2 linked regions of the Elephas maximus indicus genome follow. The protein of the gene in region 1 interacts with the protein of each later gene in a pairwise test. Links are inferred from orthologs where the notes say so. Each region holds a gene or a part of one and is shown in the gene's direction. Other genes may lie near its edges.

What was found.
Region 2: the proteins of HOMEZ (region 1) and LRRC7 interact in a two-hybrid assay, tested with the Homo sapiens proteins (2 studies listed by BioGRID). The two-hybrid records come from large-scale screens. The link is inferred for Elephas maximus indicus from reciprocal best matches to the Homo sapiens genes HOMEZ and LRRC7.

The regions. Positions count from the first base shown.
Region 1 is NC_064828.1:34,618,182-34,625,938, reverse strand, and holds the start of HOMEZ (homeobox and leucine zipper protein Homez), read left to right. Parts: upstream 1-4,755; 5' UTR 4,756-4,927; coding exon 4,928-4,967; exon of another isoform or gene 4,968-5,065; intron 5,066-7,757. UniProt on the Homo sapiens protein: May function as a transcriptional regulator.
Region 2 is NC_064821.1:115,849,525-115,857,461, forward strand, and holds the start of LRRC7 (leucine-rich repeat-containing protein 7), read left to right. Parts: upstream 1-4,930; 5' UTR 4,931-5,287; coding exon 5,288-5,289; intron 5,290-7,937.

The DNA.
Region 1 (7,757 bases):
GTACATAATTACAAATACAAAATCAAGCACAAAAGTGGATTTTTTCTTTTTTAGAATGAGAAAAGATAACACCAAATTATAATTTTTAAGAAGTTGACAATATCGCAATATCAAGAAAAATAACACATTTTTAAAATAACCTGCCTGGCAAAACCATAATACTTTTTTTTTTTTAACTGCATGCTTTTCAATAGGCTTTTCTCATGATGATAATATATAATGTTTTCTATAGAAAGTATAGGAAGGTAATTCAGTCTTTCCTCTTGCATGGCTGATCATTACTTTTTTTTTTTTTAATTGCTAAGTTAGAAAAATTTCACCTTCACATCTTGTTAGTGGTGAAGTTATATATTTTTAGAACTTTTGTCACATTTTGGAAAACCTCTGACAAGTTTCTTCCATATATGTGGTCATAGCATTTCAAATTTTCTTTGCAATGACTAATGTTATACAGGGACCCTAGTGGTGTAGTGGTTAACTGCTACAGCTGCTAACCAAAAAGATCAGCAGTTCAAATCCACCAAGCCACTCCTAGGAAACCCTATGGGGCAGTTCTACTCTGTCCTATAGGGTCACAATGAGTTGGAATTGACTCCACAGCAACAGGTTTTTTTTTTCTAATGTTATACAATAAAACCTGTGATAGCTGGAACCTGTGTAAGGTGGAAACCTGTCAGAGAAGGAAAACTCAAATATTTTCCACGAAATAGAGAGTAATAGAAAAATAGTAAGAATGCACTGTCAAAGGCAGAAAACTTGCAAGACCTGGAGATACAAAGCAGTCCTTCAGGTTCCGGCTCTCACAGGTTTCACTGTATGGTATTATACTCTTTGAATTGACGACATTAAGAGTATTCCTGGGAGCTATACCTACACAAAGACAATTTACTCACAGAAGTAATTGCAAACCACATAAATATACCTACTAAACCCAAACTAAATATATCCTCAATTCAAATTCCTTAGCCAATCCTAAAATGCCTGTGGCCCCTCTCCACTGCCACCTGACAAAAGAGGAAGTGTGATGGAAGGAAAGCCAGAAAGGAAAGAGACACCTATCTTAACCAATTGCAGCTAAAAAAAATTTTTTTTTCCAAATTTTACAAAAACCTATTACCATGTGAGCATATTGCTGGGTCCCCTCCAGTGCCTTGGAAAGAGGTCTGTGCAAGGGAGGGCCCTGAAACTCCAGCTTCTTAAGCTACAGGGAAATGTGCCTCTGGTCAGTCTTGCTAATATCTGAGCCAAGAAAGGGAGGTGAGTGGATAAATAATCAACTATATAATACCAAATAGCCACTTTTTCCTGACAGCAACTTTGAGGATATAACACATCCCCACTTTTCACTTCTCTGTTCAATTCTGACACCCTCCCCATGCAGCACTTCTTCCTCTGACCTTAAGCACCCTGAGTTAGGTCAGATCTCAAAAGTTAAAGCCCACAGACCTCCAGACTGCCAGGTGGGCCTAAGACCAGATGCCAGCAGCAAGTTTGGGATTCCACAAGACACCCGTAGTTCTATATGGAATGTAAGCATGCCCTTTGGGACATGGAAACTCTGTCTTGGGAACCCTCCCAGACTTTGCCCTTTGTAGGCTACAAATTCAGAGTTTTTCCACTACCATTTGAGGATGCCAGCTGCAAGCTTGGGGGTCTCACCCAGGCTCTCACTTCTAGTCTCCTGGCTACAAGTTCGGGGTTTTGCTACTATCCCTCCAGGACACCAGCCATAAGCTTAATTGTTCCCATAACCCTCCCCGCTTCACTTCTGACTTGCTGACCCCCACTACTCCCTTAGGTTTGATAATTCGCTGGAATGATTCACAGAACTCATGGAAACTGTTATGATTATAGCTTTATTATAGAAAAAATGGACACAAATGAAAAGACACAAAAGGCAAAGTCTAGGAGGGCTCCCAAAACAGAGCTTCCATGTCCCAAAGGGTGTGCTACAGTCCCCCATGCACTGATGTCTTTCACTAACCAGGAAGCCCATGGAACTTCCATGTCCATATTCTTTATTGGAGCCTCATTGTATACGCATTATTGATTGAATCATGACCCCTTCCCTGTCTGAGAGGTCACCTGCTACAAGGCCACCTGGTGGCCTTCGTGGCCTGGCCAGTCCCCCACTCATTTGCACAATAAACCAAAAACCAAACCCATTGCCATGGTGTCAGTTCTGACTCATAGACTGTCCCACAGGGTTTCCAAGGAGCGGCTGGTGGGTTTGAACTGCCGACCTTTAGGTTAGCTACCAAGCTTTTAAACACTGTGCCACCAAGGCCCCAGATAATAAAACTAAAAAACCCAAACCCATCAAGTGGATTCTGACTCATAGCAACCCTATAGAACAGAGTAGAACTGCCCCATAGGGTTTCCAGGGAGCAGCTGGTGGATTCAGACTGCGGATCTTTTGGTTACCAGCCGATCTCTTAACCACTATGCCACCAAAGCTCCCCAGATAATAAAGGCACCTCAGTTAGTCAGGAAACTCCAAGAGTTTAGCGATATCTCTCAAGAAACAAGGGCAAAGACCAAATTACTTTGAGTAAAGTTACACTCTTTACCCCACAGGGGGAGAGAGTTTTCACCAAAGATGGAGGATTAACATCTCTAATATTGAGGATAACAAGATGAGTCCCTATTCTTAGCACTACAGCAGTCCCTGGAAGAGCTGGGAGGGTAATTGTCTTGCTAATGATGGGACCTTCCCTTCTCTGATAATGTCAGCTTGGACCTCTTCCTCTTCTCTATTCTCCTACCCTAAATCACTCCATCTTCTAAAACTTCAGGGTGAAACACATGTAGAAGAGGGAGGCTTCAATTTGCACTCCAGAATTGGGGCAAGGGAGTTTGTTCTCCCTTCCTTGCATTCTCTCTACTAAATCTGTCTTCCATTCTGTTCCTGCCCCCACTCCTAACTCTCAGACAAAAAAGGGAGCTGAGTTATTCACCTTTCATAATTCCAAGCCCATAGTCAGTGATGCCCAGAGTGACTCACTTAACCCTCCAGGGTCAGGCGCTTCATTCCCACAGCCAGTTCCTGTCAGCTTTCCAGCCAAACAAGCATGACTTCTTCCCAGTCAATCCAGTTTTACTAATTGTTTGGATGAGAACAGAATGACCTCTCCACTGGAAACTGAGGGCTGCTGCTGCCTCAAATGTTTCATTTTTCCCTTCCTTCATTAAATAAAAACCATTGGAGGACTGTAATAGCCATGATTTAGAAGGTCTGTATACACCTGGCTCTTACCTTGAGGGATCAAAAGTTTCTAACCCTAAAGCTGAGTATACATGCTTCTGTTGTTTACCCCTAAGATGTTTTGCCAGATAATACTTGGAAGGACATCCAACTTGTATGTAAGACTGGATATTGTTATTAAGCGTAAGGAGGGAGAGGGAGAGGTGAGGCAAATACAAGGCCAGTAACAGAAAATAGGGTCAGCACTGAAAGAGAGACATGTTTATGATGTCAGGCAACCCTCAAAGAGCTCCAGCCTTAAAAGTGGACCAATGAAGAATGAGAAGTAGGAGTTACGTGGTTGTTTTTTTTCTTGGGTGGGGGTGGGGGTGGCTGGTGAGGCCTGCAGAATACAGCGTAAAGCGTGGAATTGTTTTCTAAACTATTGTAGCTACATAAGCTATTAAGTGACCTAAATAAGCAAGAAGAGACTATTTCAAAGACCAGCATAAGAACAGAGGCACATCGGAAATACATTGTTCCCAAATTTTAGTCAGAAGATAAACAATTCTAAATATACAAACTTTTGGTCCAGAACTTCCTAGCGTGTGGCATACTGCCTGGGGGAAAATCCATTTCGTTGTCAGCCCTTTCTTGACAATGAAAACCAAGGTCTCCAAATATGAGGCAGAGGTCCCGGTTTTTACAGAGGCAGGGAAGTGGGTCGGAGGGTCTGATAGGTCCCAACTGGTAACCCCTCAGGCACTTTGTCTCGGGGAACCTGTCTGGTACCAACTTGTCTGGGGGAAGCAGCAGGAGACACCGGGATCATAGGATCCTCAACTTTCTGAGCGGCGAAACATCAGATTCATCTCCAGAACAAGTTCCTTTTTGCTTTAGGTTGCTTTGCTGGAGCTGACTGCTGGTGACGACTGGGCCTCGGCTGGGGAAGTCACTGCACATACATAGGGCTAGGGACCAGACTATCAGCCCTGGAGTCTGCTCTGACTCAAGGCAACCCCATGTGTGTCAGAGAACTGTGCTCCTCAGGGTTTTCAAGAGCTTTTTATCAAGAAGTAGATTCCCAGGTCTTTATTCCCAGGCGACTCTGGGTAAATGTAAATCTTCGACCTTCCGGTTAGCTGCTCAGTGCGCTAACCGGTTGCACAACCCAGGGACTCTAGGGTTAGGGAATGGATGATAAAAGGGGCTTCCTAGAGTGCTTTTCTCAGGAGGAAACAGCCGGGGGTAGCTGTTGGCGACCTGGACACTTCGGCAAAGTGCTCGAGCCCCTCCCCAGGGAATTCCGGGAGGGACATTGGCCGGTGTACTTCCACGGTTCGGCACCGATAGGATGAGGGTGGCCCCGCGGGGCAGCTTCCCTGCCCACGTACCCAATAGCCCACGCCGCCGGTGGCTCACGGAGCCAATAGCTGACTTCAGTCAAGGCCCGTACAGCCAATAGCCGACCCAGTACGTTCCGCCGGTGACCGCCGGCCTGCGTCCACCAATCAGAACTCGGGCCACCCTGGCACCGCCCCTAGGCGCGCGCCCCACCCATCCGCCCCGCCTCCAACTCGCTCGAGCAGGGCTGGGCTAGACGGGCGCGCTCTCGGGGGCGGGGGGGGGTCAGTCCCGGTCCGGGCCCTCCGCACGGGTGGGCTCGGAGGAGGCCGCGCGGGGCAGCAACCTTACTCTCATTCCGGAGGCCCCCTGCCCCCTCTTCCCCTTTCCCCCCGGCCCATGGTGCGAGGCTGGGAGCCGCCGCCGGGGCCGGACTGCGGTGAGTGATCCCCAGCTCCTTCGACTTCCCCTCCCAGACCCTCTACGATCCCCGACCTCCGGAGCCCCATCCCCGCGCTGGAAGGAGGAGAATTCTAGGTTCGAAGCCGCCGGCGCTCCCTCCTTTCTCTTGTGGACTTTGCGGCTCCCTGTTGTATCTGGGGTAGGGTGAGTGGGTGTGTAAGGAGGGGGAGGCTGGGTTGGTACGCCCTTGAAGAGGGGAAGATTGAGATTCGCCTGCTCTTCGGGGCTCATCGCCCCAAGTGTAGCAACTTTTTGTTCTCTGACCCAGTTCAGAGCCTCCTAGACTGCTTGTGAAATGGAGGACAGGAGAAACGTTTCCTTCCCAGGCCTACCCCCCCCCCCATGGCTACTTCCTGGCGACCTCAACACACGTACCTGGCCTTCTGGGGAGCAGTGACCTTTGGGAATGAAGGGTTAACAAGAAACTGCCCCTTCTCACCCTAACCAGCCATACTCAGAAAACCAGCCAGGAAAGTGAGAACTCGAGTCCTCAGAGGTTCCTGGTGTTGCGTCCTCATCTGAGACTTCTAAACTGAAAGAAGACTCAAGATGAGACCTACTTGGTAATGTGGGCCCAAATCAGATCTTTTATCCTGTGAACCTACTTCTCGCCATACACTGGAAGCCCTTTTATGTTATATGATGAGGATTGGTAGATGGCAGTAATCAAAACAGAGTTGGGAATTTAAAAAAACGACGCCTATATATCTTAAACATAATTAAAAGTACATTCATTTCACCAATATTTTGGTATAGTGCCAAGATGGTTTCTTTGTGTAAGTCTAAGTCGGCTGATTGGTGTTCCCAGTTGTCTTTCTAGTATAAACTACAAGAGTGATTCTGAAACCCTGAGAACTTTTAAAATCTACCAATGCCAGGACCCCAGTCCAAACTAACACAAAAAGGGAAAACGGGGCCTGGCTTTTTTTTTTTTTCCTTCAGTTTCCCAGGTAATTCTAATTTGCAGTCTTACAGATGAAAGCCTCTATGTACTATACCCATAATATATCATCTGTGATTCCAGTTTTGGTTTTAAGATTCCCCCTTCCCAATCTTTTACAATTGTCTTGCTCACTCCCAATTCAACAATTATAAAAATGTATTCCCCGTTGTGTCATGTCTAAGTCAGCATTTGACTTAGTTTTCACAGGAACGGTTTTTAATGCAGTAATTTTTTTCACAGGTTTATGTGGTATTTAATTACATTATAGAAATACAGGAAAAGCTTCTGGCATAAGCAGGTGTGGAATCACAACTAGCCTAAGCACACAGGGCAGCTTGAGGAAGCAGGCTGAAGCAGATTTTGTTGCAGTATAGTCTACTAGCCTCTAGTATTCAGTGCACCATGGGTATCACTCATGTAATCCAGTGGGTCACCAGGCTTCTGACCCTGTTGAATACCCCTGCCTTCCACTCTCTCCAACTAATACCACTAATCCCTTCTAGGCTTATTCAAATTCTCGAGTCCTCCATCCACTTTTTCCATTCATTCACATCAACATGTTTGTTCATCTTTAAGTGATTACCATTATTGCCTTAAAATTGGAAGCCATAAAGCAGAGGTTTTTAACTTGGGCTCCTGGCAGACAATGACCAACCCCCTGAGATTATTTATAATGTATAAGTGTGAATGTTTATTGTGAAAGGGTAGTCATAACTTTCTAAGAGTCCATAACTTTTCTCTCTCAGAGGGATTCATGATCCAAAAGTTAAGAACCATATAAATTGAATACCACTAGTTCTTTCAGATACTTAAAACTGTATCACCCAAACACATTTCAGGCAGCATGTCAATTCTTCTGGAATAAATGTTTGGGGAGCTTAGAAGGATCATGTCTATTGCCCCACTTTGACCGTCTCCTACTTTAACCATAAGCCTAGGCTTGAGCCTAAAGTTCTAAAGTCCTTTTTTTCCTCAGACTGTGTGAAGAATGCCTAGACTGCAAGCTTAAGGTAGCCCCTTTTCTGCCATACACCCAGGGGTGTGGAAGGCCTGAGGGGAATTCCTTCTGGGTGTTATACTGATTCCATATTTCTTATTAGTGACTTTAAGTAATAGTAGAACATATTTGGCATAGTATCCTTTGTTAAAGATTATATCCTTATTAAGGATACAGATTTAGTAATTACTCAGAATGGACCGCCCCCCCGCCCCAATCACCTCTGCCCTAGAAGTCCTTCTTCAGCTTTGAGTCTTTTCTTTTTCTACCTAATCCAGAATGGAGGCATGAGAACATAAGACACTGTGGTATGTTCGTTGTGGTTTTGATTACTGTAGGGTACCTGCCCCACTTGTGACAGTTCTCATGAGCCACTCTGATTGTAGTTTCCTCCTATTTCAAAGCCAGATTCTTCTAGGGAGGTACCAGCTATATAGCTGCCCCTTGATTTAAGCCATCCTTCTGTTTCAGGAAATCTTCCACAACTTGTGCTTTCTGTAAGTGAAAACTGCGGCTGTATACCATACACTAAATATATTATTTGCATTACTGCATGCTACACTGAAATATCAAGCTGACGCCATGAGAATCTAAAGGGTATCAAATAAATAACATGAATGAAAGCAAAATGCCTCCTTGTAGGCTTGTAGCTGTGCCTGCCTTGTGTTCCTGTCTGGCAGTTTTCATCGTCACACTGGACAGCTTCATTCCTTACACTACCTTTCCTCATATCTAACGTGTTATTGTGTCCTTATGGAACAGTTTATATGAGGGTAAGTAGATGTCAAGTGTTGCAATTATGAAGTACTCTTCAGCCTGGATTTGGC
Region 2 (7,937 bases), on another chromosome or scaffold:
CACACCATACACAAAAACTAATTCAAATGTCTTAGCTATCTAGTGCTGCTATATCAGAAATACAAGTAGATGGTTTTAACAAAGAGAAATTTATTTCTTCACAGTAAAGTAGGCTAAAAGTCCAAATTCAGGGCATCAGCTCCAGGGGAAAGTTCTCCCTCTGTTGGCCTTCTCATCAATGTTCCCCCGGACTAGGAGCTCCTTCTTCACGCAGGGACGTTGGGTCCAAAGGACGAGCTCTGCTATTGGCGCTGCTTTCTTGGTGGCATGAGGTCCCCAACTCTCTGCTTGCTTCCCTTTCCTTTTATCTCTTAAGACCTAAAATGTGATGCAGGCCGCACCCCAGGGAAACTTTCCTTACCTTGGATCAGAGCAGTGACCTGAGTTAGGGTGGTGTTACAATCCTGTCAACATAAAATTACAATCACAAAATGGAGGACAACCACACAATACTGGGAATCATGGCATAACCAAGTTGATACACACATTTTTGGGGGGACATAATTCAATCCATGACACTAGATAACTGGAATCTTCTAAAAATTAAAACAATTACACTCATCGAAAGACTTCCAAAAGAGTAAAGCAGAATCCACTGACCGGGAAAAAATTTTTAGTTATCACATATCTGACAAAGGTCTAATCTCTAAAATCTACAGGAAAATTCAACACCTATAAAAATGGGCAAAGGATATGACAAGGCACTTCACCAAAGAAGATACTCAGGTGGCTAACAGACACGTGAGGAAATGCTTATGATCACTAGGCATTAGAAAAATGCAGCTAAAAGCTACAATGAGATACCATCTCACTCAGACATTACTGGCATGAATCAAAAATACAAAAAATAACAAATGTTGGAAAAGTGAGCAGATTGGAACTCCTATGCACTGCTGGTGGGAATGCAAAATGGTACAACCTTTTTGGAAAACAATGTGGCACTCCCTTAAAAGCTAGAAATAGAAATACCAAACAAACCAGCAATCTTACTCCTAGGAGTACATTCTAGAGAAATAAGAGGCATCGCAAAAATAGACATATGCACATTCATGTTCATTGCAACATTATTCACAACAACAAAAAGATGGAAACAACCTAAATGCCTATCAACAGATGAATGGATGAACAAACTATGGTACATACACACGTGGAATACTATGCAACAATAAAGAACAATGATGAATCTGTGAAGCATCTCACAACATGGATAAACATGAGGGTGTTATGCTGAGTGAAATAAGTCAAGCACAAAAGGAAAAATACTGTAAGACCACTATTATACAAACATATGAAAATGTTTCTACACAGAAAGAAACAATCTTTGATGGTTATAAGGGAAGGGTAGAATGGGGAAGGAAAAACACTAACTAGATAGTAGCCAGTGCCAGTGCCGCTGAGTCGATCCCGACTCATAGCGACCCTATAGGACAGAGTAGAACTGCCCCAGAGGGTTTCCAAGGAGCGCCTGGTGGATCTGACAACCCTTTGGTTCGCAGCCGTAGCACTTAAATAGATAGTAGATAAGTGGTAACTTTGATGAAGGATAAAACAGTACACAATACTGGGGAAGCCAGCACAATTTGACCAGGGCAAAGTTATAATTTTCACAGAGACATCTAAATGCTATGAGGGGCAGAGCTACTGGCCTGAGGACTGGGGACCGTGTTCCTAGGGAACATCTAGGTCAATTGGTATAACAGTCCATAAAGAAAATGTTCTACATCCTACTTTGATGAGTAGGTTCTGGGATCTTCAAAGCTTGCGAGTGGCCTTCTGAGATACATCTACTGTTCCTACCCTGGCTGGAGCAAAGGAGAATGAAGAAAACCAAAGACACAAGTGAAAGTTTGGTCCAAAGGACTAATGGACAACTCCACCAGACTGAGCTCAGATGGTGCCTGGCCAGTTACCACCACTTACTGCTCTGGCAGAGATCACTACAGAGGGTCCCAGAGCGGGAAAAAATGTAAAACAACATTCCAATTCACGCACACACACACACACACAAAGACCAGGCTAGCTAGTTTGATAGAGACTGCAGGAACCTGAGAGTAAGGTCCCTGGACACCCTTTTAACTCAGTACTGGTCACTCTAGAGGTTCACTGTTCAGCCAAAGATTAGACAGGTTTATAGGGCCAACAATAACACACATGAGGAATGTGTTTCCTATTACAATCATGTGTAGGAGACTAATGGACACACCAGCCAAAAAGCAAAGACGAGAAGGCAGGAAGGGGCAGGAAAACTGGAGGAATGGAAACAGGGAACCCTGGGTGGAGAAGGGGAGAGTATTGACATTATCAAGGGGCTAGCAACCAATTTTACATAACAGTTTGTGTATTAACTGTTTAATGAGAAGCTAATTTGCTCTGTAAAGTTTCACCTAACGCACAATTAATTAAAAAAAAAAAAACCTAAGAGTGAAAAATAGAGGTCAGCTGAGGTCAATTACAAATTTTGTCCTTTTAACATTTTTTAAAAAATTTTTCTAATCTCCCTGCCATTTCAGAACCCTTTCTCTGTGATGAGTTTCATAACACTTTTTAAAAATGATGTGACTTATGAAAACATCCTCTCACTCCTTTCCCTGTCTATATGTAAATTGTATGAAATACTGGGGAGTTATCTCGAAAAAACAGCCCATCTTCATGGCCCAGATAAAGTGAGAAAGAACCTTCCTCCTTGGTACTCTGCAGATTAGGTGCCAGTCTCAAAGTCTCTTCGTAGACCATCCCTGTTGTTGTTAGGTCCTATCAAGTCAGTTCCAATTCAGCAACCCTAAGTACAACAGAACAAACACTGTCTGGTCCTACACCATCCTCACAATATTTGCTACGTTTGAGCCCATTGTTGCAGCCACTGTGTCAGTCCATCTTGGCGAGGGCCTTTTTTGTTTGTTTTTTGCTGACCTTCCACCTTACCAAGCATGATGACATGAGAAGTTTCACTATCCTTGCTTCCAAGGAGCTTTCTGGCTGTGCTTCCTCCAAGACAGATTTGTTTGTTCTTCTGACAGTCCATGGTATATTCAATATTCTTCACCAAATTCATAATTCAAATGGGTCATTTCTTCTTTGGCCTTCTTTATTCATTGTCCAGCTTTCGTATGCATAGAAGGTGATTGAAAATATGATGGCTTAGGTCAGGCGCACCTTAGTCCTCAAAGTGACATCCTTAGTGACATCTTGGTTTTCCAAGTCTTTAAATAGGTCTTTTGCAGCAGATTTGCCTAGACCATCCCTAGCAGCCCGAAAAGATGATTTTTGACCTTGAAGCTGTTAGCATTTCAAATCTAAGAACAATAGCAATTAAAAAAAAATTCTTGTTTCAGTAAACCGTTACCTTAAATCCACTGAGAAGTGGCAATTGAAGGCCACGGTCTGACTCTTTTGGCAATTTAGAGAACTAAAAGGGAAAATTCCTTTCCTTAATGAAGAAACAAAAACCGTATAGCCTATACCATTCCCCCACCAAAAAAAAAAAAAAAAGGTTTCAGGATAATTCGTAAATCATAAATACATTTTAAAAATAAGTATTCATCTGATGTGTTTAAAAAATAAAGGAAACGTCTAAATATTGTACTAATTTCATAATTCTAGCTTCATCAATGTATTTTTTTTTTTAATCTGCTGCTTATGAGAGTTTAAAAGAGAAGTGTACGAGAAGGAAGTGTCTCTGTGTGTCTTTATGTGAGATAAAAACGAGTGTGTGTGAGTGTGAGACAGAGCGTGTTGCTGGCTGGAGGAGGGGCGGTGGATGAAGGAAAGTTGAGAAATCCCTTCTTTTCTTGCACAAAGCCAGGGTAGCAACCCCGCCTCAGAATGAGGAGAAGGGGACCTAGAGCAGGCATATGGGTCGCTGCCACGTCTGACGGGAAGCGACCCGACCTGCAACCACTGACTTTTCTCCTTGGTAGCCAACAACCTGCAGCAGGAAAGGCGGGCGGGGGAGGAAACCCCGAGGAGGCGCTCCTGGCCGCCTCTTTGCTGAGAAAGCAGAAGCAGCAGCCTGAGGAGCCACGAGCGCAGCGTCACCAAACTGGTGCCGGTGGAGGGGCGCGCAGGGAGGCGTAGAAGCCCGGAGCCGCTTCTGCCGGCGAGTCGCCTGCGCTGCAGGACTCTGCGCTGTCCCAGCGTCCCCGGCCCGTCCGGGAGCTGGAGGAGCCGGCGGCCGAGCGCTGCCGGGCGCCGTGCCTCGTGCCACCTGCCTCGCGCACCGCGGGAGACACGAGGAGCCCAGAGAGCTCGGCCTGGCGTTCCACTCTCAAGAAACAGCCTGTGTCGGAGCCAGGAGAAGGCGAGCATTTCAATTCTCGGCCGGATTGGGATTTTCTTGTCACAATTTAGGGGAGCAAGAGTAGAGGTCAGAGGGATAGGCCAAAATCGCAAAAACGGCCTGAGGGTTGTGGCCGTGGACCCCCCTTTTGTTGTCGGAAAATCTCCTTGACATTTTTTACACTTTGAAGCAGCTGCAGCTGGTGTCGTCGGAAAAGGGGGTGGGAAAGAAGAGGGGGCGGGGAGACACAGCGGAGAGCCACAAGCGGCGCCTCCTCGCCTGCCAATCCCGGCACCTGTGCGCCTAGCCTCTGCACCGAGGAGGCTCCCTCTCTGGGCGAACTCCGGGCGTAAAGCCACGGGCACCCAGCCCCGGACAGCAGGTTGTGACCGGCGGTACCTGCAGACTCCCACTCCGGCCACCGCCGCCGCCTGCAGCGGCGAGAGTGCACGAACCCTCTGAGCTGCCCGCTGCGTCCCGGCCCCCGGGGATCCTTGTCCGGTAGAGGTGCCGCAGCCGACAAAGGGGGTTACGGAGTTGGGTGCAAGATTCCCTTTTCCATTTCGTCTCTTCTCCGCCCAGGATTTATTGTCTGTGGAGCCTTCTGGGGGTGGGGAGGGAGCTGCGCCTCCGCCACCGCCGCCGCCGCGGCCGCCGCAGCCGCCGCTACCGCTGCGGTCGCCAGCGCGGCGCGCAGGGCTGGCGGAGGCTGGGGAGTGGACGCGCTCTTGCCTCCCCTACCCGCGCATCGGGCTTCCCCTCGGCTGCTTCCCGCGGGAAGCTCTCCAGCCGTCTACCTGAAGGGCACTGTCATCATGGTCTAACGTGGCTCCTGCCTGGAATCCCCTTTCTCCTCCTCTTCCTCCAGCTCCTCCTCCGCCGCTCTCTTCCTCCTCCGAGGACCCTCGCACCTTCTCCACTGCGGACCCCGGAACACTTTAAGGAATAACCCCTTGACAGCTGCACCAGTGACGCTCGCGGGAACCTCATGGGCAGTTTCTCCCGCCTGCGATGTGAGTAGAACACTCTTGCTTGGTGGCCGAGGGGGCTGCGGGTGCCTTGCCACCTCCAGCAGCGGCAACCGTGGGCGCGTGAGGTGTGGGACCCTAGCGGCCGGCCGGGGGCGGGGGTGGGAGAGCGAAAGCCTCCCGCGCTCGCTTCAGCTGCTCGTGCGGTTGCCGGCAGCGGTGGCGGTGATGTGGTAGGTTTCGGGGCATTTGGAATGGGTGCTAGCCGGGTGGGTGCATGGGAGCACCGAGTGGCCTGGGTTGCCAGGAGACTTTAAAGGGTTACATGCTGAGAAAGCGAAAGGTAAAGAACGAGTGTTGAACGCTGGTGCTGGACCGTTTGTCGAGCTGAGGTTAGGCTTTGCTTCTCTTTATTATCTTGGATATCTCCAGGTAGCTTCCCCCCCCCCCCCGACCCCCGGCCGTGTCTCAGGGATCAAGCGCTTGTTCGATCGCTCTACACACACACACACACACACACACACACACACACACACACACTTGTGGCTGGTCGCACTTGTCTTTTTATCTTGGAAGATGTTGTATTACTGCCTTCGTGTCTATTTGTTTGAAAAACACAATTAGAAGATTTTTATGTTATTGGGGACCAAAGAGAAAGGGTGGGGTTTCGGAAAGGGGGGACGGTGGAGCCCGAAAGACTGGTGGACGGAAAGAAGTGGGGGAACGGTGGAGCGAAAGCTTTCTCTGGAAGTCAGGAGAACGATGCCTCCCTCCCCCTCTCCAGAGAACTCATGCCTACACATCTCCTTTGTGTTGCACCGCGAAGCTGGTGAACCTGCTCTATTCCCCGTAGCAGCGCTGGGCCCCCTTCAGCATCGTGCATCCTCACCTCGGAGTTGTTAAGCATGCAGGACGTCTTTCCGGTCCTACGTGGAAAGAAGGAGGGAGGCACATTTAACATTACGGTAATCATGGCACCCTGGCTTATCGACAATTAGATTGGCTAGCGGAGGTTTCTAGTCTTTATGTTTGTAGAGTCAAGAAGTAGGATGGGGGTGGGAGCTGTATAGAATGCCTTTTCAAACAGTGTGACTTCATAATAACGGAAATGTCTACAAAATTGCTTCATTACACTACTTCTTGGCCATCAGGGCCGAATAAAGGACCCGCCTCCGCCCTCTCCTATCTCCTCCCTCGCTGTTTTCCTCCCCACCAATTCACAAAGCGAGCAGGCTGGCGAGAGGGCGCAGCGCAAGGCGGAGAAGGGAAGGGGTCACTTTCACAACTCCAGGGAATGGGTTTCAGAAAGGAACCATCTGCGACTCCCACGTTCATTTCAAAGTTCTCCTTCAAAAGGATTCAGAAAGGGGGGGAAGGGACCGGTGAGATACAGGGATCCTCCACCTGCTCTTTTCCGTTACTTTCCCAGCACCCTTTGAACACAACCAATTTACCTGCAGTGGTAACTGGGTCAGCACGTAAATATGTGTACCTGTGTACGCTGAGATGTAGCTCTCTTGATGGATGAAAAGCAATTTGTTTGTGAGCATATTTTAACCTGGGCAAAATTTCTAAGCACAATAGAGATTTTATAGCGTGGGCGAGAAGAGTGCATTCCAGCGAAAGCAGGACACGTGATCCCTCCAACCCGAGAGATACAGTATTAGGAACTCGATTTTCTTTGTTCCAGGCTGAGCCTATGAGATCCTCAGCCTCCAGGTTGCTCAAGTCCTCCTCCTGTAAGAGGAATAAATAATAAAGTTGGCTGGAGGAGAGAATAGAGGGAAGAAAAGCACAGGTAAAGGTAAAGCACCTGTAAAGGACTTGAAATCTGCTATTTCTCTTTCAAAGCCACCAATCTCTCCCGCCTCCACCCAAGCCCAGTCCCGGCCACCCCCCTACTTAAAATGAGGGGTTTCCTTTGGGATAGGCGGTAGAAAAGTTCTGCAATCCCTGAACACGTGGGTTCTCCAGAGCCTCAGAACCTGCTGTGATTCGCGACAGAATTCTGACACCTCCCCAGTCCAAGTGTCACGCCTCCATCCAGGTGTCCTTAAGCTGACTTCCTCGGACTCTACAGGATCCACCATGAGATGTTTTTGCAAAAGACAGCAGAGCAGAACATAGTCACTACCAGTTGGAAACCATTGATCTCACTCGGGAGAGAATAAGAAACTAGGGGTGTAAGAACGATTTTTATTTTTCCTTAAAAATAGAAGTCTTGAGACTAAAAGCTATGTTGAAAATGATGTTTAGCCATGTCCTGATGCCTGTGTTTGGACTCCTGGAGAGTTGGCTAGGCCTGTGAAATGTCATGAGGTCTAGTTATTTCACAATTAAGTGGAGGTAGAACTTGCATCCAGACTCAATGTGTAATTAAAGTTACCTGGCTTGGAGATTTTTTTGTTGTTGTTACTGTCTTTTTGTTGTTGTTGTTGTTCCATCTTTTATAAGTCATCTGAATGGGCTTAAGTTTTTAAATGTGGGCTATTTCTGTCCTTTGCTGCATTACATCATACTAATATGTTAAAATGTCAGGGAAAGCAGAGTCAATTTCCATGACATATTATGAGATGAGCATTCTTTATGTATTTTTTTTAACTTGGCTGTCCAAGAAAAGACGTGTACTTACCATGGCAACCCTTACATTCTGCATCACGTGTGCCTGCACATATGCAGTTTCAGAATTAGAA